4 linked regions of the Schizosaccharomyces pombe genome follow. Changing the gene in region 2 together with the main gene of any one other region gives a genetic interaction. Each region holds a gene or a part of one and is shown on either strand. Other genes may lie near its edges. The genes, in order: sid2, bgs1, kin1 and ryh1.

What was found.
Region 1: mutations in bgs1 (region 2) and sid2 impair growth when combined (synthetic growth defect), as found in Schizosaccharomyces pombe (2 studies listed by BioGRID, with this or other methods).
Region 3: of bgs1 (region 2) and kin1, a mutation in one rescues a mutant of the other (synthetic rescue), as found in Schizosaccharomyces pombe (one study listed by BioGRID).
Region 4: mutations in bgs1 (region 2) and ryh1 impair growth when combined (synthetic growth defect), as found in Schizosaccharomyces pombe (one study listed by BioGRID).

What each region holds. Positions count from the first base shown.
Region 1 is NC_003424.3:220,097-226,462, forward strand, and holds sid2 (serine/threonine protein kinase (NDR family) Sid2), read right to left. Parts: upstream 3,858-6,366; 5' UTR 3,757-3,857; coding exon 1,933-3,756; 3' UTR 1,598-1,932; downstream 1-1,597. Other genes in the region: cfh1 (chitin synthase regulatory factor-like Chr3), read right to left, coding at 1-1,359; dnf2 (phospholipid-transporting ATPase), read right to left, coding at 4,300-6,366. UniProt on the Schizosaccharomyces pombe protein: Part of a signaling pathway. Required for initiation of medial ring constriction and septation.
Region 2 is NC_003423.3:2,350,277-2,359,596, forward strand, and holds bgs1 (primary septum and spore wall linear 1,3-beta-glucan synthase catalytic subunit Bgs1), read right to left. Parts: upstream 7,089-9,320; 5' UTR 5,968-7,088; coding exon 778-5,967; 3' UTR 646-777; downstream 1-645. Other genes in the region: SPOM_SPBC19G7.04 (protein-DNA covalent cross-linking repair protein), read left to right, coding at 1-68, 112-490; DNA-binding transcription factor, MADS-box Mbx1, read left to right, coding at 9,153-9,203, 9,271-9,320. UniProt on the Schizosaccharomyces pombe protein: Alternate catalytic subunit of the 1,3-beta-glucan synthase (GS) complex. Synthesizes 1,3-beta-glucan, a major structural component of the fungal cell wall. Required for the assembly of the division septum and maintenance of cell polarity.
Region 3 is NC_003423.3:2,691,656-2,699,384, forward strand, and holds kin1 (MARK/PAR-1 kinase Kin1), read left to right. Parts: upstream 1-2,676; 5' UTR 2,677-3,512; coding exon 3,513-6,188; 3' UTR 6,189-6,473; downstream 6,474-7,729. Other genes in the region: emp46 (lectin family glycoprotein receptor), read right to left, coding at 363-1,517; ATP-dependent RNA helicase Mak5, read right to left, coding at 6,634-7,279, 7,317-7,605, 7,657-7,729. UniProt on the Schizosaccharomyces pombe protein: Has a role in establishing the characteristic rod cell shape. Important for cell polarity and is involved in directing growth to the cell ends.
Region 4 is NC_003424.3:1,191,069-1,197,121, forward strand, and holds ryh1 (Rab family GTPase Ryh1), read right to left. Parts: upstream 4,078-6,053; 5' UTR 3,969-4,077; coding exon 3,846-3,968; exon of another isoform or gene 3,803-3,845; coding exon 3,643-3,802; intron 3,566-3,642; exon of another isoform or gene 3,564-3,565; coding exon 3,452-3,563; exon of another isoform or gene 3,340-3,451; coding exon 3,129-3,339; 3' UTR 2,546-3,128; coding exon of another isoform or gene 2,129-2,545; 3' UTR 2,078-2,128; coding exon of another isoform or gene 1,994-2,077; 3' UTR 1,943-1,993; coding exon of another isoform or gene 1,848-1,942; 3' UTR 1,774-1,847; coding exon of another isoform or gene 1,711-1,773; 3' UTR 1,637-1,710; downstream 1-1,636. Other genes in the region: pseudouridine-5'-phosphatase Pud1, read left to right, coding at 1,477-1,524, 1,594-1,636, 1,711-1,773, 1,848-1,942, 1,994-2,077, 2,129-2,545; SPOM_SPAC4C5.03 (multispanning membrane protein, CTNS/PQ domain protein), read left to right, coding at 5,927-6,053. UniProt on the Schizosaccharomyces pombe protein: Has a role in retrograde traffricking of proteins from the endosome to the Golgi. Involved in protein transport to the plasma membrane. Involved in the secretory pathway where it has a role in acid phosphatase secretion.

The sequences.
Region 1 (6,366 bases), on a different chromosome or scaffold from region 2:
ACGAATGTCAGAAACTAACCCATGGGTTGTGTGTACCGGAGGAATTGGCGATAAAGGACTTGTTTGACCGTGTATAGAAGTAGGCATTGGTTTAATTGCCTTAGGACGTGCAAGGTTTGTAGGATATGAAGGTAAATTATTAACAGTTGGGTTTGTGCGATTATTATCATAACCTTCGGGAGAGTTATTATTCGAGTTCCTCGAAACATTTCTACGATCAAATGTAGGAGCAGGAACCTCAACTGGAGAACGAGCTGGTAGCATTACCATTTGAGAATGTGGATAACGAGGTGGTTGTTGAAGTGTAAGCAAATCATCATTTCGAGGATTTTTCAAAGTTTCGGATGATTTTAAGTCATTAGAAACTGAAGGAAGCGAACGTTCATCGCTTTCTAACCCGAATGAATCTGTATTCGAGTCGGTTGATGAAAAGTGACTTTTTGAAGGGAGGTGTCCAGAGTTTTCATAAACTGGTCCCAAATGACGATGAGCAGGTTCTGCATCTGACGAAGCATTAGAAACTGTATTTGTGATGGAGTCACTTTCTGCTCCATCTTCTTCCTCCAAAGTTTCTATTCGAGAGTTACTCTTAAGCTGATTGTCTTCAAGTACAGTATCGTCATCCTTGTAATAGTTATCTAAGAAGTCATCAAACCCACCGTATGGTATGTAACTCATACGACGCTGTACACGACTTATAGAATTAACACGTGGAGGTGCCATATATTTTCTATGAGGATCCGGTTGTCCAATCTCATCCTTTCCATCATCTAAATTGGTCATTGGCGTTGGTCGCGGAATAGAAACCAAAAAATCTTCTTTCTGCTCATGATTTATTTGTATTGGGGCATCTTGCCGATCCAACTTTAAACTAGGTGAAGGCAAAATAGGAGAAGCCTGTCTCAAATTAGTGTTCAGCTTTAACCCACGGTTAACTACACGTTTGCTTGTAGGAGCAGGTGCAGCTGGAATTTTATACTGTGGCTGTGGCTCCGGCTTGACCGGTATGGTTGCACGCGGCAATTTGTCTTTGAAGGTATCTTCACTAACAACAGGCCGGGATATTTTTTTCTTGGAGAATTTCAATGCTGAAGGTGGAGTACCCATTGTAGCGCTCATTATACTAGCCCTGTTCGCGTCAATCCTTGAAGACAGGTCCAAAACATTCGTATACACTGGTTCATGGCTCAATGTCGGATATCTCGATGTAGGACGAAATTGAAGAGTAGGGGAGGATGAAGAAGCTGTGTTACCGCTTTTTAAAAAAGCTGGGGTACCCTCTGTTCTTTTTCCATTATTCGTTGCGAATACCAACTTTTCCTTCTCATACTTCCTCCGAGAGCTATGTGAATCTTTCATTAACAGATTAATTTACGAGTGAAATAAAGAGCAAAAGGTAGACGCTTTAGGAGGAAAGCAGTAAGAAACGAGGATAATGAGGTATCGCAGTTTGATGAATGTTACAGCTCTTCTGCTGTTGCCAACAAAACGAATATCTTACAGCTCACTAAACAACAAATAATACACGAAAACAAAAATTTTCCAAAATAGTAAAAATGGTTCAAGATATTAAATTGCAGATAGTGTCTATTTCCCTATCAAGTAAATGATTTACATAATTTATCTGGTAATTGCAAGTTCTTCTATATAAATGGCGAAAGCTGAATATTGACGAATAAAATAGTGGAAGATAAATAAAAATATAATATAATATAATGAAAAAGGATACTTCCAAATAAACATCATAAAATTAAAGTGATAACTTTCGCAAATTGTAATGTAAATGCCGTTCGAAAGTGAAATGCAATAGTAAAAGACAGTACTGTAAATGTCAAAACATCAAAAGCGAAGCTCAGTATCTTCGAAAATAGTTAATAACAGTAGATGTCTTATAAAAATACCATGAACAAGGGTCATTAAATTTCCCTTTGATTATAATAGAGTCCCGAAAGAAGGAGCAGAGAGGGGACTAGATAATGCGCTACTAGAGCTAGTAGGATGACTATTTTTTTGATGCCTAAAAGTGAAGCCGATAAAAGCATTGCGTTTAGGCTTATTAAATGTGTTAACCATATTAGCAATTGCAGCTTGTTTCTCATGAACTTCCTTATATTTAGACATATCATTTTCATTAGTGAAATCATCAAAATATCCTGCGTCAATCTCAGAATTAAGGTCGGGTACAAACGGAGGACGATATGCTGTACGAACATTTTTCCAATCAATCTTTGAGAAGTAAGGATGTTGCATGACTTGCTTAAGAGAACAAAAGCGATCCTTGGGATCAGTAATGCAGTGACATACAAAATCCCATGCATCATCTCTCCAGTTGAATTCCAAATCGCGGGGATCATCATAGTGAGGGCGTTGAAAACACTTGCGCCAATTCTTCAAGTTAGACCAGGTTTCATTAACATTGGAGCCAGAAAATGGAGGAAAACCAGAAAGACATTCATACATGATGCAGCCAAGAGACCAATAGTCTACAGAGTGGTTGTAGTTTTCACCTCGTAAAACCTCTGGGGCCATATAATCAGGAGAGCCAACTACTGAATGAGCGTATACAGGATCCTGAGATAAAAGAGTTCGAAACACTTGTCGCCTTTCCCTCATGCTCCTTTCGGGAACAACGACATTGTTGACTTCTTGAAGACGAATCTTCATACTTTCAATCTTCTTTTTGCTGATTATTCCAGAACTTAAACCAAAGTCCGTCAATTTAATATGGCCGCTAGCTCCAACCAAAAAGTTTTCTGGCTTAAGGTCACGATGGATGTAACCAAGTTGATGCAAAGCATCAATAGCTAGGAACATTTCTGTAGCATAAAACTTGGCATGATGATCCCTTAAAACACCACTGTTGCTAAGCAAAGTACGGAAATCACCACCAGGAACAAATTCCATAGCGAGATAAATGTTTGAAGTATCCTGAAAAGCATAAAGTAGACGAACTAACCATTCCGAGTTGGCTGTCGTAAGGATATCACGCTCAGTAAGAACATGCCTGATCTCATCCATTTTATGCAAAACCGATTTATTCATGATTTTCAAAGCAACAATCTCTTTGGTGTCACGCTTCCTAGCCAACCAAACAGAGCCATATCCACCTTGTCCGACTTGAGTGATGGTCTGGAAATCTCCGTGACTAATGCGTGTCCTCCTTTTCCTTAGATATACTCGTTCACGTCCATTGTATCGCTTCACTAGCTCGTCTCTTCGTGAATCAGGCTCTTTAAGCAACTGCTCTTCAAAAAGACGGGCTCTTTGCTTGCGGGTATAAAGATAATGAAGCTGCTCAAAGTAATGGTCTAAAAAGAACATTTGACAAATGGTTGCCATTCTCTTTACCTTAGGTTGGACCACTTTCTCCATTTCTTCAACTGACAAGTTCATAGATCCATTTTCCCATCTTGGTGAACCCGTTGAACTTCTATCTGACCAATGATTATTATCCTTGTAGCTCAACTCGCCAGATCTATCAAGACCACGCGGAATAGGGCTTGCAATCGGTAACTTACTAATGTGTTTTGAATGCATATGATTGTCAGGATAATTTTCCTTCGAAGATGCCACTGGGGAAAGCTTCATACTATTAAATTGATCCTCCAAATTCCTTTCTTTATCATTATTCGACAAGTTGCCGGGTTCAAAAAGACCATGTCGCTTCATATATGCATCAAATTTCTTATCTGCTTCAGAACTTAGCTGAAGTCCTAAATCACCTTCAACTGGTGACATATCATTAACACGATTCATTATTAGTTTTCTTTAAATATGTATCGTAAACATCCAACGTTTTGGTCCCCAAAAAATGCAAAACTCCTGTCAATAATAACCTTACGTGTTTTGTTTACGGCAGAGTACATTTCCATCGGAGTTAGGTATCAGCCATTTACCCTTAGCAACCAAAGTTTGATTACAGCAGTCGCTGGAAATTTCAAAACTTAAAAAACCAACCACCAAATTTACTACTTAGAACAAGATTGTTAAAAAGTCTGTTTTTATTATTTATCATACAAATGTAAACTAGATATAGTAAATTTATCTCGTTATTTTTAAAATGTACTGTGAATGCAAAATACATTTTAAATTTGATGCAATCTTTTGATTTCAGAAGAAAAATGTAAACGTTCATGTATTTTATTTAGTATGCAGAGATGTTTCTATAACATCATAATCATTATTCGATAATTCATCATTCTTTAGTATGAAAAGTTATGTTCTTAAGCATAGCGTAGAAATAGAATGGGTACACAGATTATCTTGATTAGATAATTCAGCTTATTAACTTGCCATTTTTTAAGGCCGTAACGGCTGTTCAGAAGAAGAAATGGAACCACGATGAGGCATGTATTCGCCTCTGTTAAGTATTTCATCAGAGAACACAGGAGAGCCCTCCAAGAAACTTGGAGTATATGACGGGGTAAAGCTTCTTGGCATACTTGATGTGAGTGTAAGCGAATTTGTGTCCAAACGTAAAGGTTCTTTCTTGGGTGTCGCCAAACTTGACGAAGATGCGTTGAAAGGGACCTGTAAAGTAGAAGATGCCCAATCTGGAGATTGTTCGGCATTCTCAATCTCCTCTTCTTCATCCAATTCATGAAGGCGTTTAGTGCGGTAACTTTCGCGAATGATATCCACATCATATGGCCAAAATAACTTTTGCGTTGTCATAAACAAAAACTTCGGGAAAAGACAACTTACAATCGTTCCACATAAAACAGCCCAAAAATTTGGAGTTCTGAATATACGCGAAGCAGATTTATAAAATTCATATGTATAAAGGCTTTGAGAGTAGACGCCAGTCCAAAACCAAAATGTCAAACAACTGAGCGCCCATAAACCAATTGAAAACACATCCCAATTTGATTGATTCAGAATAACATACGTGTCGACAACCATAATAGTTGGCGCAGCAACGTAAACACCTAAATCTTGTACAGCCATAGTATCACGACCATTCTGAGCAGCTGTGGTCACATTGTTAATCACAAGAAAAGAGAAAAAGAAACAGATTACAGACTGATAAAACCCATCAAGCATATATCCAATAAAGATTTTCCTGGCTGAATTTAATTGCAAAATACCACGCTTGTAAAGCTGAGGGATCCGAAGCGACAAATCAGCATTAACATCTTGATCATAGACACCCATGACAATGACAGGTAACGATGAAAAAATCAAGTTAAACAGCATAACATAAGTATAATCGAAAAGGTAATTTGCGTCGAAATTGTTGTAAATCTGATACCAGAATAAAGTAAATGTCCATACAACACTCTTGTAGAAAAAGTTGTTTACCATTTCAGCAACACGATTATAATCCCAACGGCCATGAACAAGAACCAGCTTGCTCAAAAATCGGAATTGACCGATTGCATAATCCGCAGACATAGCTGCAGCACGGCCTTCTTCACCAACAATACCAACACCAATATCAGCTTTTTGAATCATTGCAACATCATTCGCACCATCTCCAATGGCTAACGTCATTACTTCAAGGCTTTCGCGTACCAATTGAACAACATCTGCTTTTTGAGCCGGACTAACACGGCAACACAAGACAGCCTTGCATCTTTTACAAAGTAGCAGAAACTTGGTTCTCATTGGACCATCTAAAACTCGTTTAAGTACTGATCCATCAATAACTAACGCATGAGAGCCAGAGGGAGTGTCATGATCCTTCTTAGCAGCTTCAAGTTCTTCAACTGATCCAGACAAACCAAAATAACGATATAAGTAGTCAGCTAAAATAACTTCCAACTCTGGTGTTGACACTTCTTGGTCCACATCAAACTTAATCATGTCCATGCCAGCGTCCAATAAATTGCAAGAAAAACCAATATTAATAGCAGTCTCCATTTTGTCTCCGGTCAGAACCCACAATTTGATACCGGCTTGAGCCAATAATGCAATTGAATCAGGTACTCCTTCTTGTAATCGATCCTCAATAGCTGTTCCACCGAGCAAAGTAAGATGAGATTCAATCAAATCGGCAACTTCCTCTATTTGCTCCTCACGGTTTTCAATTGCAGATGCGGCGATGTCATACTTTTCTTTCCATTCGTAATATTCCTCTTCAGTAAGCTCTCTTTTTGCGATACAAAGTGTTCGTAAACCTTCCAATGCAAAAATTCTGAGATGCTCAGAAGTGGTTTTACGTAATTCAACTTGTTCATTTGGTTCCAAACGTTCGAAAATAATGCTATCAGCACCTTTGCAAATAAGCACATAACGGTTATCGGGTCCTTTAACGATCACACTCATTCTCTTCCTCGCTGAGCTGAATTCAATAGTATCCATCAATTTGAATCTTTGGGTTTCTCCAAGAGCACGAGTAACCATAATGTCTCTCCGCTGGTCCAA
Region 2 (9,320 bases):
TGCCATTTAGCTTGTTGGATCATCGATAATGAAATGCAAAATCCACATGGCGCCTGCTTCAAAGCATGGTATGACAATGCAAATTAATGATAAATGTACTAACCTATTAAGGGGTAAACGAATTATGAACAATATGCCTTATATAGAAATTACCTCTAAACACAATTATGATATTGACTTCAAGTATAAATGGCTGTGTATTAATGAAAAATGCAACAAACTTTATGGAAGGCACTCAAAATCCATCAATCCACAGAAACAAGTTTGTAGGTTATGCAAATCACAAATTAAACAAATTTGCCCCAAAATAAAACAGCCCAATGCATTTCAAATTTTTTTAAAGGAGAATTCTAAGAGACTACGAAAGCTACACCCACACATCACTCACAAGGAACTTATGAAGAAACTTTCAGATGAGTACCACCGTACTAAAGATGCTAAACAAAACGTTTCAAAATCCGTTAGCCTTATCTCTTCAAGCGATTTGTAAATGTGAACGTAATAACATAATCAATATCACATTACGGGCAGACGGTGCACCAATAATTTTTTCTCATGTAACAGACATTAAGTTTGTGTTTGCTCTAACCATCAATCGTTCTTCATTACTTATTTAGATAATATATTCTCAAGTACTAGATACTTAATCAACACTCAAGTCATTTTTTATTTAACAAAATGCAAATATAATAATTATTATTTACCCTAATTGAGAGCATTTCTAATGAGAAATAAGCATCCACATCACACAAATCCTTTAAAAAAAAATAAAATGCTTTAGACAGAAGAATTCTTTGTTGAAGAATAAACAATCTTTGTCGCTGGCTGAATCAGATTAAATTTATCCATTGAAGTTCCAGCAGCTGATTTACCAAACACAAAAGGCAAAATTAAAAGAACAAAAAAGGCAATAAACAATGAAAAGTACAAAGTGGCATAGCGAAGAACTATTTGACGACGAAGTTTGTTTTGTCTTATGGTATAAATTGGGGGTCGAATTTGTCTGCTGGGCACAAGCCAGAATAATATGATCGAGTGAAGTTTGTCGATATAAGGAATCAAAATAACAGGCGCTTGCAAAAACAACAAAAGATGACTTAAAAGGAAATCACCAGCAAACATATTCAACTCTGTAGTTTTACACACAAATTCTCTCCATGGTTGCGTTAAAACCATATATCCAAAACCTTGGCCATTCCAACGTCCAGACCACCAAGCTAAATTGGCACCATCATGACGAAATTCTCGAGACAGGAAACATATGATAAAAAATTTATGAGCAAACCTGTGAATTGAAATGATTGCTACAAATCCAAGTAAAGTTTTTGAAAATGACCAACCTTCCAAATAGCCCAATACTTCAAAGACAACAACATCAACACACACAAAAAGGAAATGGGCCACTCCAGCCAAATATACACCATACGTTTTAGATCTATCGCCGAGAATAGGACGTAACATGATTCCTAAACAGAAAAAGAAAAAAGCAATAATTGCACTTAAAACCAAAGGAGCAACTGACATAATAATCAAGCGAATAAAAGCATTAGTAGATTGGGTCTCATCATCGTTACCAGGTTGGGAATTGATAAAGAGAAATGGAATACACGTGAAAAATAGTGTTCCTAGAGGCCCTAATATTTCACCATAAAACATTGTAGTAATTCTCGCACGCGGGGAATCCATAGCAATTTTATCTGCCTTCTTACCATATATTTTACGTTTATACCCAGTTACTCTGGTACGGCAAAGTTGACAGTTGCCAATCCATGAATTTGCTTGATTGCGTGAATTTTCGCGGAATAGCCAGCGCATAAACTCACGATAATCAACAAAGAAATCGGTCCAGGCGAATTGATGGGGATTGTAAAGGAATGGACTAATGCAAAGAGCAGTCAGCGTAATCCAAAAGTAAATATAATGCGGCAACCAAGCAGTAATTGAACCAAACAATAACATGTACATAAGTCGTGACCCAAAATAAAGTGATGGTCCAGAGAATCGAGAATACAATAGTGAGAACGGCACACGAACAGTAGCAAAACCTCTGCTAGTACCAATATAGCGTGCACCACCAAACGTAAGATTTGCAATTAAACTCTGCGCATATATTTGGCATGTGAAAATTTCAAAAATAGGAGATAGAGAGAATATTTGTTTCGCTAAACGAATAACCATTCGGATGGCACCGCGTTCCCCTAATTCACAAACAGCAAGTGGAACAAAAGCAATACCAAAGACAATGAAAATAGACAAAATACAACGCTTCAACCACTCGAGAACTGGTTTTAATTGATAACAACCTTCAGGGTACAAAGAAGCTGTCAAGGAGTCAAATTGGCGGTATCTACAAACCGGAACAACAGTGTACATTGCTCCCAAATTAATAATAACAAGCATCAATAACTGTAAAGAAAACATGATGACCATGTTATTGACGTGAAATCCAGCGTGGGCATAGAAAAATGACAAAAACCTATCAAACGGTAATTGTGTGCCAAGGTTGAAATATTCTCTTGAAAGCATTTGTTCCGCCATACCCGTTCCAATTTTCGTAGTAAAGTTAAGAATTGAGCCAAAACCCAAGTCACGACCCTTACCACATTGATAGTAATCACAATGCTTAATACGTCCTCCACGTTGAAGAGCAATCATACCTGCATAAATATCTTCATTAACATGCAGACCTTTTTGTGCTTTTGAAACGCCGCCACGAGTAATCATAAACAAAACATTAATAAAATCAGGATGTCCGTAATGCAATTTTCCACCAATCAACGATAAAATACGAGCGAAAAGAGTACCAAATGTTTGTTCCTTTCCAGCAGCTACATCTCCAAGCATACCTGTATTTTCTGAAAAAATGTATTCTCTAGCACCGAGAATAGCTACGGGATGATTGTCAGCAGCTTTGGCATTTACCGAGTAAGGGCTATGTAAGGGAGGAGTAAGTTGCTCAAATTCAGCAAGAATGCTACGAATCTTTAGACATTCTTCCAAATAATTATCCTGGTTGGCATCGATCATTTGTACATATTCACCTCTAATGTAAGGAATAGACATATTTTGATTATCAGATTTACCGTCACCCAAAATTGGGTTACCAGATAGACGAATACGATATTTGGGTCGACGCTTTCCATTTTCCATAATGGGGCAATGACCGTCAATCAGTACAGAATAAAGATGGCGCTCGTCATTATGTCGAGATTGAGGATCTTCATCCATATATGCAATTTGCAAGTCTGGATACGCTCTTAATAAAAATTCTGCATTTTCGGCTTCTTCTTTGGTAAACTTAGCATACCGCTGCATGGAGACACAGAATCGGAACTTCCTGTTTGCCATTAAATCCAATTCTTCATCTAATCGCACAGGGTCACCATTTGTCCATTCGACCAATTCTGGTGTTTCCGTTCTGTATAACAGTTTGATGGCACGACTATAGTTACTGAAACCGTTGATAGTGCGATACAAAGTTTGAGTTCTCAGAGAGGCCCAAATTCTTGTTCTCAAAGTATACTCCGGAGTCGCAGATTTAAATCCAACACAATAGAAAGGAAGGTCATATGCTTTATTTACTCCATTTTTTTCATTGTCGATACTGCCAATAACAGAATCATTTTCATCAGCAAGTAATTTTGTATCATCAACAAAATTTCTCCACTCCACAGGATATAGCTGCTTCAAGTACTCTAATAGAGTTACGCGAGAAAGTTGATCTTCCTCGCGAATAATCTCTCTTAAAGATAACAAAATTTTCTCAGAATAGTGAGGAACCAAAACAGTGAAGGTAGGCATGGCATCAATGGAACTAGTCTTGGGTATTGATTCAGCCAAGGATTGTGCGAAAAAGGAGATTCTTCGAGCAGCTTCTGAATTAGCCGGAAACAAATCTTGCTTATAATGCTTAACCTGTTGGGAGTAGAAAAAGTTGGGAGCTCTAAGAGTATGATAGCCTGCCTTTTCAGAAGGTACTTGATGGTACAACAACTCCTGAATTTGGGTACGGGAAATCAAATGCTCCCTGTACATCGAGATAATAATGGCATTCCAAACTTGAGAAATAAGTACTTTTGGCTTGAAGACAATCTCCATGTCATCGGTATACAACAGTTTTGTATATATTCTTCTGGGAACGCGGTAAAACAATTCTCTCCAAGGAGTCCACACACTGATACCCAGGCAAAAAGCATAAGCCAAAGAATAGATAGTGCTGATAAGAATGTACCATAGATAAGTATCAAGGAAAAACAGAGAAAGATCAGTTAAATACAGTAAACTCAAGAGAATTTTAGGCTGAGCCTTGCATAGTCCAGCTCCTAAAATGTAATCACGGCAGTCATAAGGTCGCATAGCACCCAAAAATCTGATAGAATCTGCCAAATTCAAAGTTAAAAAGAAATAAGATTCCAAGAATTTGGCCACCAAAACTGTAATCCAAAGACACCAAGAAACGAAAGCACCTGTTTTTGAGGTCGGAGTGAAATTGGCGGTGAAAAATCTGTTAGCAAGGTTTTTTCCAGACCTTTTTGTGGTGAAACCAACCAAATTTCGTAACGGCGTAATCGAATAGTAAACTACACAGACCAACGAGAAAAAGAAATGCACAATTCCTACAACCAATCGAGAAGCATAATGCTGCTCTTTCGTAGACGAAGCAAATATGAAAACAACAGGTGCGATGTTTAGAAGTAGCGTACTTATCAATAACAGCATACTCGGCCACAACCTTCTGGCAGAATGATAACGACGAGGAACATGTATATATTCGAAAACCACAGCTGCCAAGGTGATAAAAGAAGCTATAGCACCAGCTAAACCACAAGCTGTCCAACGACAAGAAGCAGGAGGTTTATTATTCAAGCGGATGTGATAATTTTTGGTGTACAAATTTGGGGAATTATAAGCCGAATAATACCAGTAAGCAGATATATGCATTACCCAAATACGTGAGAAATTGGTAACGTTATGGAACCAAGAACGATACTCGTAATAGGACTTATAAAAACATGATTTCCATTCAACATCGGAAAGATGTCGATATCGCATAAACGGTGGTAAATCTAACAACGGAGTTTTATCAGCACACATGATTTCCTGAAGGCCCTTGTAGGACCAAAACAATTGATTAATATCATCATAGCCAATGATTTGAGAATGATCTCTTTCTCGTCTGACGTATTTGCCGTCCAAAATTTCAAACAGCTGTGCATGAATAAATCGATAAATAGGGGTGATAACCGAGTCTAAATAAAATTCCTTGGGCAAAGCAGCATCGACATCTTTAGCTTCCGAAGAGATATAATAATCATAAGCACATTCAAATATAAAACAAAGACACTCGGGAACAAAACGAACATTGTTAGCTTCACCCCAGCAAAGAAAATAAAGGCACACCTGCACCATCATGCGATGGGGTGAAAATGCTGCCATTTGATCTCTCCATGCCTGTTCAGCTTCTTTCAAAGTCATTGTTTCGACAATTGGGGAAGACATATCGTGAAATCCAATGGCATGACCGTCATTAAAATGAGAAGCAAAGTACCACTTTGAAAAATTTGCATGTTCACCACCAATGACATCGGCATGGATAGTAAGCAGTGCCGAGGAAGGAGACATACGAGATGCCCGAGAATCTAAAAGAACCATAACATAATCAAAAATGTTACGCATGTTATCTTTTTGAAAACCAAGTTTATTTGTAAGGTCCAACAAGATCTCTTGAACACCTTCCATAGTAACAGGAGCCTCTTCACCAGCTTGATTCCAAGCCGGATAAGCAACTGAACTGGAATCGACATTAAATGAAGAGCTATCATAATCAGAATGTAATGCATCACGAGAAGAGTTTTTATCGTAAATCATACGGGTCAGAGAGCTCATAGTATCATCGTCAGAGACATAACTATTGGCATCATCTTCAAAGAGTCCACGACCCTCTTGTTCACGCCAATACTGATCCATGATGAATAAATAGACTCAAAAGAAGGAGAGAGGACAAATTTTAATGCTTAAATTAAGAAGAATTGAAAGAAAGAAAAGTTGGAATTTGTGAGAAAGAATGCTAGCAAATGAGGAACGATGTTCAAAAGAAAGAAATAAATTTAAGAGACCTTGAAAAAAAGATTAAAAAGAAAGAAGTTAAGCCTTGGAAAATGGGGGCAAAAGAGTAGAAGAGAAAAAAATTTGTGCTGATTGAAATGAAAAAAGTAAAAGACTTTTTCAAATCCTAAAAAGAAGAAAAAAGGGTGATATATGTATGCCGGATGAGAGAAGACGGCGGAAAAAGCTCTAAAAGTAGGAAAAAGGGTGGGATCACGAAGTGAAAGAGTAGTTAAGATATCGGAGGTTCAAAAGGGAATGAACGGAACCTAAAAATACAGTATGCAAATTATAAAAAAAGAGGCGAAAAAAAAGAAGAAATAATTATAAAAACAACAATAATAATACCATAAAACAGCAAGCACCAAAAGAAGTACTTACAAATGCACACCTAGGAAACTGACCAAATTTTTAAAAAAGCGATTCAAGGAAGGACGTTTTTTTAAAAGAAAAGGAGAAAATATAAAATCGCTTTCCACATAAACTTTAGATTGAACAATTAAATTGTCGTATGCAGAAGCTTATTTACAATCTCTCAAAGCGAAAAAAAAGTAAATGGAGATGGGAAAATGGAAGGAAAAGAGAAGCGAAAGGGTAAGAGGAACCCGGGACAAACGCCAAACGTCCACACAAACACAATGCTACGACAAAAGGTGATCTTGCACACACCGAAAACTTAGCAGTGATGGAGCAACTAACGTAAAGATAATATCACACAAGAAAACTTGGCAAATGTTAAGATGGAGTCAACCTTTTTGTATGGAGGCTAATAGGAAAAAAGAGAGGAAAAAGAAAAGAAGGAACCAATGATAGATATATAAGAAGGAAGAAAAAATTAATTCCGTGCAACAGAATCAAAAATTTGACGTTAAAAAGGATAATTTACTCTAATTAATCAATATATTTTCAAAAATTTTAGAGTAATTCCACTAAGAGAACGGTGAAAATAGCCAAAACCCACCAGTTCCTAGTTTGTTGTCTGCAAGTTGTACTCATTCCGGTTCTTTCAAAACTAACAGCGAAATGGGGAAGGGTAGTGCACATTATTGAGGCCTATTTTAGTGTAAGCAATTTAGAGGCTGGCGTGGTAGGAGGCTCAGGTTACTCACCAACGAGGCACAAGGAGGCTTAAAAAACCATCCCCATACAAAGCAAAGCCATAGCCGGTCAAACAAAGAAAGAATTTATAAGCAGCTACTGTGTAGCATCTTATCAATCGTTATACCCAGCTACCGTTTTAGATGGATACTTTTAACCAAACTAAGGACGCTATATTTGAATTGGAAAAGAAGTAAACAAACTACAAAAAGTCAAGAAAGTGTAGCTGAAACCATAATTCAGTTACAGTGAACATAAGCGACGAGTGTTCTTTTTTTTTGGAATTGTTAAACTAATTTCTAATATGTGATTGTCTACATGGGTGGTAAACAATAGTAAAAATAATACAAAGCTAGAAGGTACCGAATCCCAATTAGCAAAGGTATGATTATTACAGTATAGAGCTTATGAAGAGAACTAGGCATTGGGCTTTTTTCGCAAATCCCGAAAATTGGGAAAATCATAGACGCACAATGTCTGGGTATTGAATGCGTGGGAAAAGTACGGATTTGAATGCTAACAAATCTGGTTAGGATCTAAAGAAGATGAAAAGACAACCGAGTACGAATTTAAAAGCAATTGGTTAATCCAAAGGAAGAAACAATGTGCCGGCATTGGAAAAGGTTTCCATTCCATATTCTGGTTAAGACTTGGATTGGGCAATTTCCCTTACGAATACCCCAAAAACAAACACATCCTGTAAATATTTTTATCTATCAATCGACTATTACAGCGATATTCTTTTAAATCTTTGATGACTATTTAGTTGTCACACTTAAACAACTTCTTACAATCATTTGACTACAACTATTTCTATTGTCGCACCTTCTGCTCTTTTCATTTTCTCCATTTCATTAATTCCTATATTTTCTACTTCTCTAGTTTGTTTTACTTCTTTACACTACCTTATTAGATAAATAATCTAGCACCCTAGCCTTTCTTATCATCTTAACCCCCTGTAGCGAGACTTTTTTCGTCCGGTACCTTACAGGGCTTGGGTGGGCTTTATAGAAAGGCTCAGTACATTTACCACGAGATTTTGAAAAGGATAAATCCAGCGTTTTTTCCTACAAACTATACGTTCCTGATACGCTGTATACGCTTCTTTTTCATCCAAATTTCACATTTTTTATATTTTGGTTCAAGTCTGGGGTTGATTTAAGAAAAATTTTTTTCCGTACTGCCTATTCAGTGTTTCTATTTATATTCAAAGGTGAAATTTTTTGTCTCCGCAAACTTTACATTGCCGTTATTGTCGCTTTGTTTACATTTTGAAAGTCTCAAATTGAATATTTTGAATTTCATCCTTGGCTTTTTTTTATTTGGTTTCCATTTATTTTGGTGATCGGCTTCCTTATTTTTTTTTGCACATTTAGTATTGGGTTAGACTTCAAGTCATAGGAGCCGATTGAATGATATCCTAATATTTGCCTGCTTTTTTAAAATTCTTCCAAAGTTATCTCTTTTTTCTACATTAAAAGGTTTTTTCATTCGTCTACCCAAAACGTTAACGACATTTTCCTTGTATTCTTATCCCTTTAGATTATATCCCATTTTGGTACCCATTACTGTTTTGCTGCATTTCAAGTCAAGCTGATACATTCAAGTGAATCTAGCGGATAATCATATTTTGTATTTCAACCTTTAAGTTTTGCACTTCCTTGCATGCGTCTTTGCCTTCCCTTAATTTTGATTTTTATTACACTGTCAATAATCACGAAACAAGAATATAAGAATAGTCGAAACTCTCACTTTCTTTGCGCCCTTTTTTCCTTCTCCCTTTTCTCCTAATTTTTATTTCTAGACTTCACTGAATTTCCTCGGTTGATTTAGTCAATTGGTTTAATTTTTAATCCTTTTTTTGTTGTTTTTTTACTATTTTGGTTCTTAATTGTCGCTCTTTTTCTACTTCTTATTTATATTATTACCTAAATATTTGGACTCTAACTATGGATATTAATCCTCCTCCTAGTACTGCTCCTTCATCTCCTCGCCGTTCTGTATGTGCTACATAGTGGTTTGGTTCCATTCATACACCCCTTTTCTCCTCGCTAACGTACCATTTAGATACAGCGTATTTCCGATGCAAAAAATAAGGCTCTTACTTTTAATCGTCG
Region 3 (7,729 bases), 340 kb from region 2:
TGATTCGTGCCTATTGGCATTAGTAAAACATTTAAAAACAGGAAATTTGTAAACAGATATAGTGATGTTAAGTTATGGAACTAGAGGACCCCCATTTTAGGTAAGTGTATATCTTAAGATATGAAAATTATATATTATTTATAAGATGGTTAAGATAATAGCAAGTAATGATTCAAATATGCATTTCGTATGACTAAAAATTTTGATGATGAAAAGACAGGACAACCACGGTCAAAAGAAAGGATAATCGTCAAAACACAAACAGATGAGCAATTCTTTGTATAAAAACACCACTTCATAACTGCGCGTTTTACACGCCTATACCGTTTCTGAAAATTAATGGCAAATCACCCCAATCGAATCTATAAGTATTTATGTCTTCTGCGATCACGACGAACCAACATTATACCATAGGATACAATTGCACCCAATAACAAGAAAACCATAAAGTTTGTCAAGTTATATGGCGAGTAAGCATTTCCCATTGCCTTTTTTATCTCCTTTTCAAATTCTGCTAAATGTTTAGAAGTACCATCTGCAGTGGAAGATTGCGCAGATAGAGAATCATGTAGCAATTTTTCAAGGGCATTAAATCTTTCACTTGGGAACTGTGAAGTAGAAGAAATATCGTTCAAACGCTCCAAAGCATTAGTCAACGCAAAATGCAAAGAGTCCATCTTCTGGCGTTGAGATTCTACTAGATTAAAAAGCTTTGCCAAATCAGCCTTTATTGCGTTCAAACCTTCAGTGTCAATAACTGTTTGAGGACTAGTATTGTCACCGACGCTTTGCTTTGTATTGGAGGTAGGATTCAAATTTTCATTATTAGATGTATCTGGAGGAAGTATATTGAGGTTCGATAAAGCCACCAAGTCTTTTGCAGACGTAGATTGAGAGGAAACTCCAAAATAATACCCCTGAGGCAAAATGACATCTTTTACTTGAAAGCAGGGCTTGTCATTCACAAATAACTCTAATCCAGATTGGTCACCGTATTTGAGAATAATATTGTTCAAAGCCTCAGGAGAGCTCTCAATGGTACATTTAGCAAAGGGCGGAAGATCGGGGTCAGTAAACTGAGCAAGTTCAAAACTTTTATCATTCAAATAGCCACGAACAAAGATTTTACCAGTTTGATCGATTTCCTGGGAAATCAGAAGGCCGTCCCACTTATCGGAGGCGCCAAAAACTGGACCTTCTGAACCGACAGCGCTTGTATACCAAATCGCAAAAAAGGTGTTTTCGTTCTCTGATACATGAGCTACAAATGAAGTCGATAGCTGCCAGCCAACTTGTCGTAAAACGCTAGTTGACCAAAGGGATCCAGAGCGTGCTTCATTACTGTCTTTGCTGGTTAAGTAAACGTAACCTGAATCTTCATCCACACTACCGTACCATTTCCATTCAACGGGAATGGCGTTACTTAGTGAATGAAGTTGCAAAAACTGAGATTTAGGGACGGCGTAAGCCAATGTACAACAAAACGATAATACATGAAACAGGGAGCAAAACTTCATTTTTCTTTACTTCGTTTAAAAATAGATAAATGAATATTGTGAAAGTATGCCAAAAAAAAGAGAGAGAAACAGAAATTGAAAGAAAGGATTATTTGGTTAAGACCAGGGACTTTTTGCTCTATTACTTATAGAAAAAGATTACTCCAGTCCTTAAATCCTTTAGTTACCGGGAACCAAAGTAAATAGATGTATTTTTGGTTTATTAGTTACCGTCAGAAAGTTTATCTACAAAATTCCGTAAATGTGAAATGACAACAACCGCCAACTCAATCGTAGTAAATAAGGATGATATTTCGAAAGTCACCTAACGAGTAATGTTAGACTTCCCTATATTTAAACATGGCAGCTTTCTGAGCAACTATGGATGTTGCAGTAAAATTGTATATGAATTGGTTTAATTGCTCGAAAGCATTGTTTGTGTGCAATGCAACTTTTCAATGCGAAGTGTATTTAATGATTATAACAAGCAATAAATGTAGTAAAAAAGACCATTTCTCTACTCCACATCAGAGACAGAAACCAGTTTTTGTTTTTTTTTAAATTGTGACTAAAAAAACAAAAAAACAATCAATGAATTAAGAGTACCGTCATGGTCGATGACTAATTTTAGTCGTTAAGAAAATTAATTGATTGTTCCATCGAAATAAATTTCATAAGCTTAAGAGACATGAAAAATACTTAAAACAAAACTCTAGAGTAACTTTAATATTTCGTTAATTTAAAAAGTTTTGACTTGGCACGATAATTCAGATGTATGAATAATGTAAAAACACACGCGTATTTGTTCATTTATGAGGAAACTGTGATGGTGATTTATTCATTGTATTTTTGAATACGCATATATTTAAAAGATTTAAGTATACAATTTCAATTGAGTCGTTTGCTGCATACTAAATCCATTTTTAGATACCATGTTTTTCTCATAACCATAAAGGAGCATGCTTGCGCCTCGGTATATAGCAGTCGTGATCTTTTAAAAGGGTGTGTGGGAAAGGAAAATACAAGTCGATAAATACATGAAATAGATTAAAAAAATAAAAGTTTAAGAAAATAGTAACTGGTAGGCTATTTTGAAGTCTTATCTCTATATAAATCGATACTAAACGTAATGAATGCTTTAGCATGGTGCATTCATCCATGACATCTCCACTGCTGCTTTAACCATTCCGTACAACAACAAAGCCAGTGCATTTGGGTTAGGGAATCCTTCCTTTACAGTTTCTGGCTTCATTTCCTTTTTTTGTAATAATTTAATTGAAAGGAAAGAATTGAAGAGATATTGAATGCCTTAGGGGACGTAGCATAGATTTGCAGTGGTTGTTAGACAGGAAACAAATTGCGGGAAAATCTCAAAGTCGTTTGACTTTCTGTTGCTCAATAAAAGAAACAGGAGACCTGTTTATACTAGAATTTCTCAAACAAGAGTTTTTACGACCGAAAATTATCGAAACAACTATATTTTTTGGTCGTTTATCTTGTTCATCGAAAAAGCTAAGCCGGTTTACCTGTTCTTCTTCCATCTTCCTGCTGCTCTAATAATCTCATTTGTTATCTTTTCAAGCTTTGCTTATTTGTTTTGATTGTAGAAACGGCTTTATCGGCTTGTGAGCATCCTTCTTTTCACAAACAATATTGATTGACTACTAATCCGTTTCTAAGCCACGAGCATTCTTGTAACTAGATCGCTTTGCTTATTTGTTTTCATCTCGTACAAGAATTTCTTCGTCCCTTTATTGTTTTCTTTTTAATTTTTCGGATTTCACGCTTTTTCGTAATATTTGTCATCTTAGGTTCGCAAGGAAACTGGTGCCACGATTTACGATAACAAAGTATTTTTTGTCAACCAAGATTTACACGTTTGTATTATTTTCACAAAGTTATTATTTTATTACATTACTCAGTCGGCTTATTTTGAGTTGATTGCTAATTTTTGCCTCTCAAAAGTTCAAGCAGTAATTTTATATCTGCTTTTTTGTCTGTTGATCCCATTTCCTGATGGAGTACCGTACCAATAACGTACCCGTCGGTAATGAGACAAAGTCTGCCGCTTTAAATGCGTTGCCGAAAATTAAAATATCTGACTCGCCCAACCGTCATCACAACCTGGTGGATGCTTTTATGCAATCTCCTTCTTATTCTACACAACCAAAATCCGCTGTAGAGCCTCTGGGTTTATCTTTTTCTCCTGGGTATATTTCTCCTTCTTCTCAGTCTCCACATCATGGCCCCGTAAGGTCTCCATCAAGTCGAAAACCGCTACCAGCATCTCCTTCTCGTACGCGGGATCATAGCCTGCGAGTACCTGTATCTGGGCATTCTTATAGCGCTGACGAGAAGCCTCGTGAAAGAAGAAAAGTCATAGGCAATTATGTACTAGGTAAAACCATTGGGGCTGGTAGCATGGGGAAAGTTAAAGTTGCGCATCATTTAAAAACAGGTGAACAGTTTGCCATTAAAATAGTTACCCGTCTTCATCCAGACATAACGAAGGCAAAAGCTGCTGCTTCTGCTGAGGCTACTAAGGCAGCACAATCAGAAAAAAACAAGGAAATTCGTACTGTTCGCGAAGCTGCCTTATCTACTTTGCTCCGTCATCCGTATATTTGCGAGGCAAGAGATGTTTATATTACTAATAGTCATTATTATATGGTCTTTGAATTTGTCGACGGTGGTCAAATGCTGGATTATATTATTTCACATGGAAAATTAAAAGAAAAGCAAGCTCGAAAATTTGTGCGTCAAATTGGAAGTGCGCTGAGTTATTTGCATCAAAACTCTGTGGTGCACAGAGATCTAAAAATTGAAAATATTTTAATTTCGAAGACCGGTGACATCAAAATTATCGATTTTGGTCTTTCAAATTTGTATCGACGTCAGTCTCGCTTGCGCACGTTTTGTGGTTCATTATATTTTGCTGCTCCAGAACTTTTGAATGCTCAACCGTACATTGGTCCAGAGGTAGACGTTTGGAGTTTTGGAATAGTACTTTACGTTCTTGTTTGCGGAAAAGTGCCATTTGATGATCAAAATATGTCTGCCTTGCATGCGAAAATAAAAAAAGGTACCGTCGAGTATCCAAGTTATTTAAGTAGTGATTGTAAAGGTTTACTATCAAGAATGTTGGTTACTGATCCTCTCAAGCGAGCCACGCTTGAAGAAGTTTTGAACCATCCTTGGATGATTCGCAATTATGAAGGACCTCCAGCTTCGTTTGCTCCGGAAAGATCTCCGATCACTCTTCCATTAGATCCTGAAATTATTAGGGAAATGAACGGTTTTGATTTTGGACCACCAGAAAAAATTGTTCGTGAATTAACTAAGGTAATTAGCAGTGAAGCTTATCAATCTTTAGCTAAAACTGGATTTTATTCCGGGCCTAATTCAGCTGACAAGAAAAAGTCTTTCTTTGAATTCCGGATTAGGCATGCTGCGCATGATATCGAGAATCCAATATTACCATCTCTTTCAATGAACACTGATATTTATGATGCGTTTCATCCTCTCATTTCAATTTATTATTTAGTTTCTGAACGTCGTGTATATGAAAAAGGTGGAAATTGGAATAGGATAGCAAAAACACCAGTTTCTAGCGTTCCTTCTTCGCCAGTTCAGCCAACTAGTTATAATCGTACTTTACCGCCAATGCCGGAAGTTGTTGCCTACAAAGGCGACGAAGAATCACCTCGTGTTTCTCGAAACACATCACTTGCACGCAGAAAGCCTTTGCCTGATACGGAATCTCACTCCCCTTCTCCTTCAGCAACCTCCTCCATCAAAAAGAATCCATCCAGCATTTTTAGAAGGTTTTCATCACGCCGAAAACAAAATAAGTCTTCTACATCTACTCTTCAAATTAGTGCTCCCCTTGAGACCTCACAATCTCCACCAACACCTCGAACCAAGCCGTCTCACAAGCCCCCAGTATCTTACAAGAATAAACTTGTTACCCAATCTGCTATTGGAAGATCAACCTCTGTTCGTGAGGGCCGCTATGCTGGTATCTCCAGTCAGATGGATTCACTAAACATGGATTCAACAGGGCCCTCTGCATCCAATATGGCAAATGCACCTCCGTCGGTTCGTAATAATCGTGTACTTAATCCTCGTGGTGCTTCCTTGGGGCATGGGCGGATGTCAACTTCTACGACCAACCGCCAAAAGCAAATCCTTAATGAAACGATGGGCAATCCGGTGGACAAGAACTCTACTTCCCCATCCAAATCTACGGATAAATTGGATCCTATAAAGCCTGTTTTCCTTAAAGGCTTGTTCAGTGTTTCCACTACATCGACTAAAAGTACTGAGTCAATTCAACGAGATCTTATTCGGGTAATGGGCATGCTTGATATTGAGTATAAAGAGATCAAGGGTGGTTATGCATGTCTATATAAACCTCAGGGTATCCGAACCCCTACAAAATCGACTTCTGTTCATACACGACGTAAGCCTTCTTATGGCTCTAATTCTACCACTGATTCTTATGGATCGGTGCCGGACACAGTCCCATTAGATGACAATGGTGAGTCGCCTGCCTCTAACCTTGCCTTTGAAATATATATTGTGAAAGTCCCTATACTCTCTCTTCGTGGCGTTTCTTTTCATCGAATTAGTGGAAACTCATGGCAATATAAGACATTGGCTAGTCGTATTCTTAACGAATTAAAATTGTGATTGACTATTAAAGCTGCATACTTTTTTGAAATTATTTATTTCACTTCATTTTACGTTATGACCACCTAATTAGTGTTTATGGTTTTTAATACTAAGACCGCTTCAGGTTGAACTATATTAGACGTTGAGCTTTTTTAGAGACGAGAAACTAGACCTCTAATGCTCTTGCCTGTGAAAGCAAACAGATGCCAGAGGCATGTAAAGTCAACGTGTAAATGCACCCTCGTTCGCTTATGTTTAAGCCAGATACATAAGGCTACTATAATTAATGATATATCTTATAGTAATTCGTTCACTTATATAGTCTAATACGACGTTTTTGTTGATACTTATCTAGCAGTAATATTATTATTAACCCATAACTATAAAATACCAAAAAACCATTGTATAAAAACCTAAATGAAAACCCGTGCTATATGAAAAGTAGCTAAGTAAAAACCCTTTTTTACTTCTTCCTTTTTTGCAGAACTTCCAAAGCACTAATTGAGTCCATTCCGATAATATTATCATGAACTTCTTCGTTGGCTAATTTTTCAGCCATATTTACAAGACCGCTCGTCAAGTATCTACCAGAAAATCCTGTTCTTATTTTTTCGTGTAATAAGGGAGCAAGCTCTGAGCGAAGATGCGCTATCTGTTTCTTATTCTTACTAGATTCAGATTTTTTTGGCAAATCCGGATCCTCATCATCAGAACTTTCAACTCCCAATTCCTGAGCCATCGATTTTAACCAAGCTTCCTCACGTCCCACTCTTCCGTCTTTTCTAGTGAGATTTACAATTTTATGTGCTAAGACGACCCTCGTTTTTAAAATGTCCAATATTGACATATCCACAGGAAAATTAATAAAGGTCTCGATTTTCTTTTTCAACCGATAACATAGTCGTTTCAGCTGTGACAGTTCTTTAGGACCACACATTAAAATTGAAACGCCATCTTCGTTAGCGCGAGCGGTACGACCGCTTCTATGAACATACATATCAGCTGTATGAGGAACATGATAATGAATTACGTGCGTAACACTAGGAATATCAATACCACGGGCGGCCACATCAGTGCAAACAAGGACTCCTTTAGGATTATTTTTGAACCTTGTTAGTTAGTAACATATAAATAAAAATAACTTACTTTTCAAGAGATTGAAGTCTTTTTTTCTGATCTAATTGAGCATGTAGAGGATAGGATGGAACTTTTAACTCATTTAGAAAAGGAGTGATTCTCTTAATATCCTCAATACCATTGGCAAAAACCATGGTTTTTCCAGGATAACGCATGATCAAATAATAAAGATACAAGTCTTTTTCAGCTGGAGCACACTCTATGAGCCCTTCTAATACGCGGCTTGCCACTGCACTTTGAGGATTGGCATCCAAAAATTTGGGTTTGCCAAAGAAACGAACCTCCTTCAACATATTTTCTATGCAGTCGTTAGTAAGTGAGAAAGTAAAATATTTCTAATTGAACATACCCATCGGGCTGTTGTATTTCTCAGTTATATTGCCTTTCATATTCTTTTTAAGGCGTTGCTGTAAACCCTCATC
Region 4 (6,053 bases), on a different chromosome or scaffold from region 2:
CCCTTTTTTTTATTTACACTTGGCTTCTTTCAACAATCCACTCGTTTCAACTGCTTTGCTCGACGCACTCATTACAAAATCCTACAAATTCCCATGTAACCGGAGCCGCATGAGGAGACTTTCAAAAATGTTTTATCTTTGTTTTCTGTCCTCACGGCAATCTGCATTTGTTATTTATTGCTGTGTTAAATATCCATATTTTTCGTCATCCGGCAAAGATCCTCCAACTCGCCTAACAGTGAGGTACTTGTGACCTTGGTTAAAACAAACTTTGACTGTTTTTCTACACTCGGTCCAACAATTTCACATTATAGTTGACACGATTCTACGACATGGCTAACGTGCGTCGCTATTGTACTTGTAAATTTTGTCTGACCAGCTCTTCTTTTCAAAATACATGGCCAAAATGGGTTCCAATAGCTAACTGATTAGTCACCATTTTATGAACAGAATCCAAGTGGCTTTATCAGAAACGCTTTAAAAACCAAAGAGAGTAATTAAAACAAAAAAAATTCAACATAGCATACTTCATGAGGGAGAATGGCTGGTCATTGAGACTTTTCCTTTTCCCTCAACTTCTGTTTATACAATGTTTTAGTATGAGATTCCTGGGCGAATCATTGCCTGCTTGATTCGAGAATAATGCGTGAGCTGTTCGCTATGTTCAATTCTGTTATACATCGCAATATGTCAAATGTTTTATTTCTCTATTCACTGTACATAAATGATACAGGATAGGTTCATCATTGCTTATAGTCAGCTGGATATTATTCATTGATATATAATGAGAGCCTAACAGAACCAGTATTATTCAATTTGGAAATGAACGATCTCAGTGTCAAAATATTCATCACCTTCATAGAAAAATATCCCAAAACAATCGCTAACTTACACTACCTGGGTACCGCGATATAGATAAGTAAATTACAAGGAAAATTCACCACAGCTTAAGGCATCATTAAAACCGGATTACAATTTCATGGTTAATATAAACGCTTAATTCTCTTTCAGTAGTGCGGTTGAATTCTCACTAAAACAGATTAACGAACTCTTCAATATTGCTCCCAATCATCCGACACACGGATTTACTCTAATCTACGATTGTTGATTACTTATTGCAGTTTGCACAGTTTTGGGATTTAGCTATTTTTCATTCTGCCTAATTATCACGCCTTACTGTATCGACGTTTCTTTGTTGATCTTTAACAACTGTCCTTATTTTTTGGTTTTTCGCGGATTTTTTTAATTAGATATACAGTTAACACTTCATTTGTCGGTGTCTTTGTTTTCTTTAATTGTATTTGTATATTTAATTGTTAATTCTTGTTTTGGAAGATTTTATACTTTTTTATTGGTTATACAGCAATATACTTTTTTGAAACTTGATTTTTTGGATATCCCGGAAGTTTTTTTTCTGCTTTTTTTTTTCTTTGGTTTTGTTAGGTCGTAGAAGCTTCACTATCTTTTTACCTAGAAATGGCTGCTAAACACGTAAAATACATGGCTTGTCTATTCGATATGGATGTATGTTTATTTTTCACACCACATTACCTCTTATGAAAGCTTTTGCATTAACAATCACTCTTTTTACAGGGTCTACTTGTCGACAGTGAAACTATTTATACAAAGACGACCAGTATGTAAATAATATATCTGTGCTTATATTTAGCACAAAACTACAATGTTTTCTAATCTTTATTTTTTTTATAGATCTTATATTGGACAGGTATGGCAAGGATCCTCTTCCTATTTCTGTTAAGGCTCAAATGATGGGTATGTTATATAAAGCTAGCGAAGAGATATTTTAAAATGCTTTCAAAATTGCAGGTCTAACTTGCGATACGTAGGGAGACCGGGTTCCGCAGCTGCCAAGGTTGTTATAGATTGGTCCAACATTCCTATGACTCCTCAACAATTCGTTGATGAACAACAGGTTATTCGGGTACGTACTTATACGCTACATTTATTTCCATTTCAACTAACTTTCTGAAAGGCAAAGTTTTGGTCGTCTTTGAAGCCTATGCCTGGGGCTGAATCTTTGATTAATAACCTCTCCAATCATGGAATTGATATCGGGGTATGTACTCATCCCTACGCTATAATAAAAGTGTGCTAACAGCATCACCAGCTTGCTACTTCCTCTAATACCGCAAATTATAATATGAAGACAGCCCATCTTAAACATATTTTTGAGAAATTTGGTAAAAATGTTATTACAGGTGATAATCCTAGTATTGCACCTGGTCGTGGCAAACCTTTTCCAGACATTTGGCTGAAGGTGTTGAATTTAATAAATGAAAGTAGGAAGCAGCGAGGTTTGAAGGCACTTACACCAAGCCAATGCATTGCCTTTGAAGACAGTATTCCCGGTGTCAAAAGTGCAAAGGCTGCAGGAATGCATGTCATTTGGGTTCCAGATGCTGCCATCAAAAACTTGGTAGGGGATCAGCTGAATGAGATTGTTGATTCTCAATGTGAGACGTTACCGAGTCTTTCAGAGTTTGATATAAACAAATATCTTAACATAAATTCAAAGCAGGCCTAGAGGTTATATCCGCTAACTTTTTTTTGGTTCATTCAATTTTTTTTGGCAAAAAACCTCATATCTTTTAATAAAATTAAAAAATTGAAGTATAAATAAAGTTCTACTGTTTCAATGAAAACCTTGAACTGACTCACATAGCATAAATAACTTATGAGTAAAGGGAAAAAGCGAAATCTAAAAAAAAAAAAATAATAACATTTCTCTGAATTCCAAAATCATACATTGTAATTTTTTTCCTTCTTTGCAAATGCCCTTGAAAAGTCAAGAAGCACCGCAGGGATTAAACGAAAGAGACTTATTCAGAAATTCAACTTCTCACTTTTGTAAAGCATATATCATAGAGACAGGATTAAAATAAAAAAGGACTAAAACAAGTAAAAAAAGAAGGAAAAGGAAACAGGTATAAAAGGAATCGCGATTCTTTAAAGGTGCAAAAGATTTAGGGGCTATAAGAAGATATATATATACTCACAGTATACTTTTTGAGGGTCAAATGACATTAAAAACCGCTGATTGCGGCCTGAAGCGAAAAAAAATAATTCACGAAACAGTTAGAGTACACTGACATGTTCAATGAGATACACTAGCAATTGCAGCTGCTTTCATTCTCGTTAGGCTGAATGCTAACGTCAATCATTTGAGTGCTTTGTGTTTCCACATTCTCCATGCCTGGTAACATTTGTGCAATTTTCCTAAACAACAGTTTTACATTGTGACCCGCTTTAGCACTAGTTTCCATGTGCATTATTTTTAATTCTTTTGCCTTTTTTTCTCCTTCTTCTTGAGTCACTTGCCTAAACCACCGTTAGCATAAGAACCATCAAAAACCAAAATATAGCTTTGGAATTATGAATGAAGAGATGTCGCATTGTAAATGCTGAATCTCTGTTAGCTGGAGTGTCATACCTTTTATCAGCCAAGTCCGTTTTATTACCAACGAGAACAATTATAACGTCGTCTCCCCGCTCAGCACGAACATCTTCAATCCATTTCTCAGTATTTACAAAAGAGTTATGGTCTATAAGTAGTTAGCAGATATTCGAAAATAAAGTCTGAGTAAAAATATATGGCAAAATTACTGTGCCACTATTACTTACTAGTGATATCGTAAACAATAATAGCAACAGAAGAATCCCTAATATACGAAGGAATTAAAGAACGGAAACGTTCTTGACCAGCAGTATCCCATAGTTGAAGACGAACCGTTCGATCTTCCAAATACATAGTCTTGCTTAGAAAGTCTATACCAATAGTAGCCTTGGACCCTGTTAGTAAAGAAGTTTTAATTATAGTTACTTACTTGATAAGTATTATCAAACTGATCGTACATAAATCGTGTAATTAACGATGTTTTGCCAACTGACTGCTCACCGAGAAAAACCAACTTAAATTTACGCAAAGAAAACGAGTAATTTTCTGACATTATGACAAAAAGTTTTGACTTCTAAATATACACAGACAAAAGTAATTTAGATACAGACGGAATTGCTTATTGATGATCAAAAAGCACCGTACTTAATAGTGGTAGTAGTGAGTAAAGACTATCGTGCTACAGTGAGATCCCGCCGCATATCCTTAATATACTTTCGCTTGTTTTACTTTTCATTCGCTTTTACGAAGTTTAATCTCGGTAAAGTAATTCTATAACAAACAACTTTTTCGCTGAAAAAGAAATCATGAACTCTCACCGTTCTTAAATTACTAAGCATTCCTAAAGATGGGTTCTTTTTCTTTGAGTTGTTGATAGTGATAGGTTTTTGGGTGTTAAAAAACATACAGCTGTAACAACAGTTTGTTTACTACTCATAGTTTTATACACAACATTTCAAGGAATGACAACTGGGATAAAAACGCGCCACATCGCATGGGAAGGAGGAGTCATCGAGATTTGATTATCATTAAACTATATAATACAAGAAATCTCTCGATTGGAATGGCCTAATTTTTGCTGAGAGTAGCTAAGTTTACAAAAAAATATTGGACACGCTGGGGATTGAACCCAGGACGACTCGCATGCAAAGCGAGCATGCTACCACTGCATCACATGCCCAAACATTGAAGGCTTCAGCATATTAGTAAAGTATAAGGTAATTTTTTTGTTTAGTAGCTGATGAAAGAAGGAAAATGGAAAGTAGTTAAACCATAGAACAAGCTTGAAATTCAACATAATGGCTTTATTCCATTTGAAATTTTATTAGAATGTTTCATAATCTACGCATCCTGTCTGCTACCAAGTTCAAGATTGGCAGACTGCACCAAACTGTTCGAAAAATGTATGTTTGTTAACTTGAATAAAACTAGCTGTTAAACGAGTCAGATTTAAGCAAAATATAAGCTTTACAGGAAAATATACTCGAGTTAATTTAGCAAACTCGGTCATTTCATTAATGATACAATTAGCTACGGAACAGCCAAGTCAAATTTTATACTTAATGTCAACAATAACAGGTTAGTTAGTGGGTTTTAATTTAATAATTTTCGAAATCAATAAAAGAGTAAATAGTATGGCTTTTCAAGCTTAGATTCTTTTAAAAATAAATTTTTTTTTTATTTGTATCCTTATTGCAATATGACGAAAAGTTCAAGAAAGATAAGAGAATTAAAAACTAAGTTATTTCATAATTATTAGCTGCTGTTTGGAATAAAAAATCTCGGAATTTAATGATAAGATGAAAAAGAATTTAAAAAGTAAATATGTAGTTATATATCCTATAAAAAATTTGGTTCAAACGATTAATTTAGATTATTTAGAATCTTTAAAAAGATAATGGGGTTAAAAACAAAAGAACTTGATTTTAGATTCAATTTAGAAATTTTTTTGTAAAGTGTCTTGATGTATTTCAATTTTTAGATGTGTAGCGCCATTTCATTTCACTCATGTTTTTAAAAGAGAAAAAAATTTACCTAGTTTATTAAGATATACAATTCATTCAGTTCCTTTTATCTTCTTCTATAATTCATTGTTTATTTACTTATTTATTTTCTCCAATGTCAAATTTATAGCACTTTAAATATCGCAAAATTTCAATATTATACGTTACAGCTCACAACTTTGTGTCTAAGCCCTCCGACTAATGTAGCTTACACTGCCTCTCCTTTCCCCATTTTCGACAAAATTAAATGAAAAATCCAATTTTTTGGCGATTCTTCCTTTTACTTATTTATTAAACACCAATTATTTCAAAAGGAAATTTTAAATTGTCTTTCCTTAGTGACGCTTGTTCAATAAGCCCCAAAGTTAGCAACCTTTACTTCATCGTACCATTATTGGCAGCCCAGGCATCGTTTATTTATATATTTTTATACAAAGCATTAGAAATTAACTTCGTATTGCATTTCTTTATTACGATTTTATTATAGGAGACGAAGTACGTATGAACGATGGAGTTTAGCACGAGCAGTTTCATTTTTGATGATGATACACCACCGAAGTGCCCTTTGGCAACAAAAGCTAGCTTTATCTTTTCAGTGTATATTATCATAGGCCTCATCATTTCTTACCTGTTAC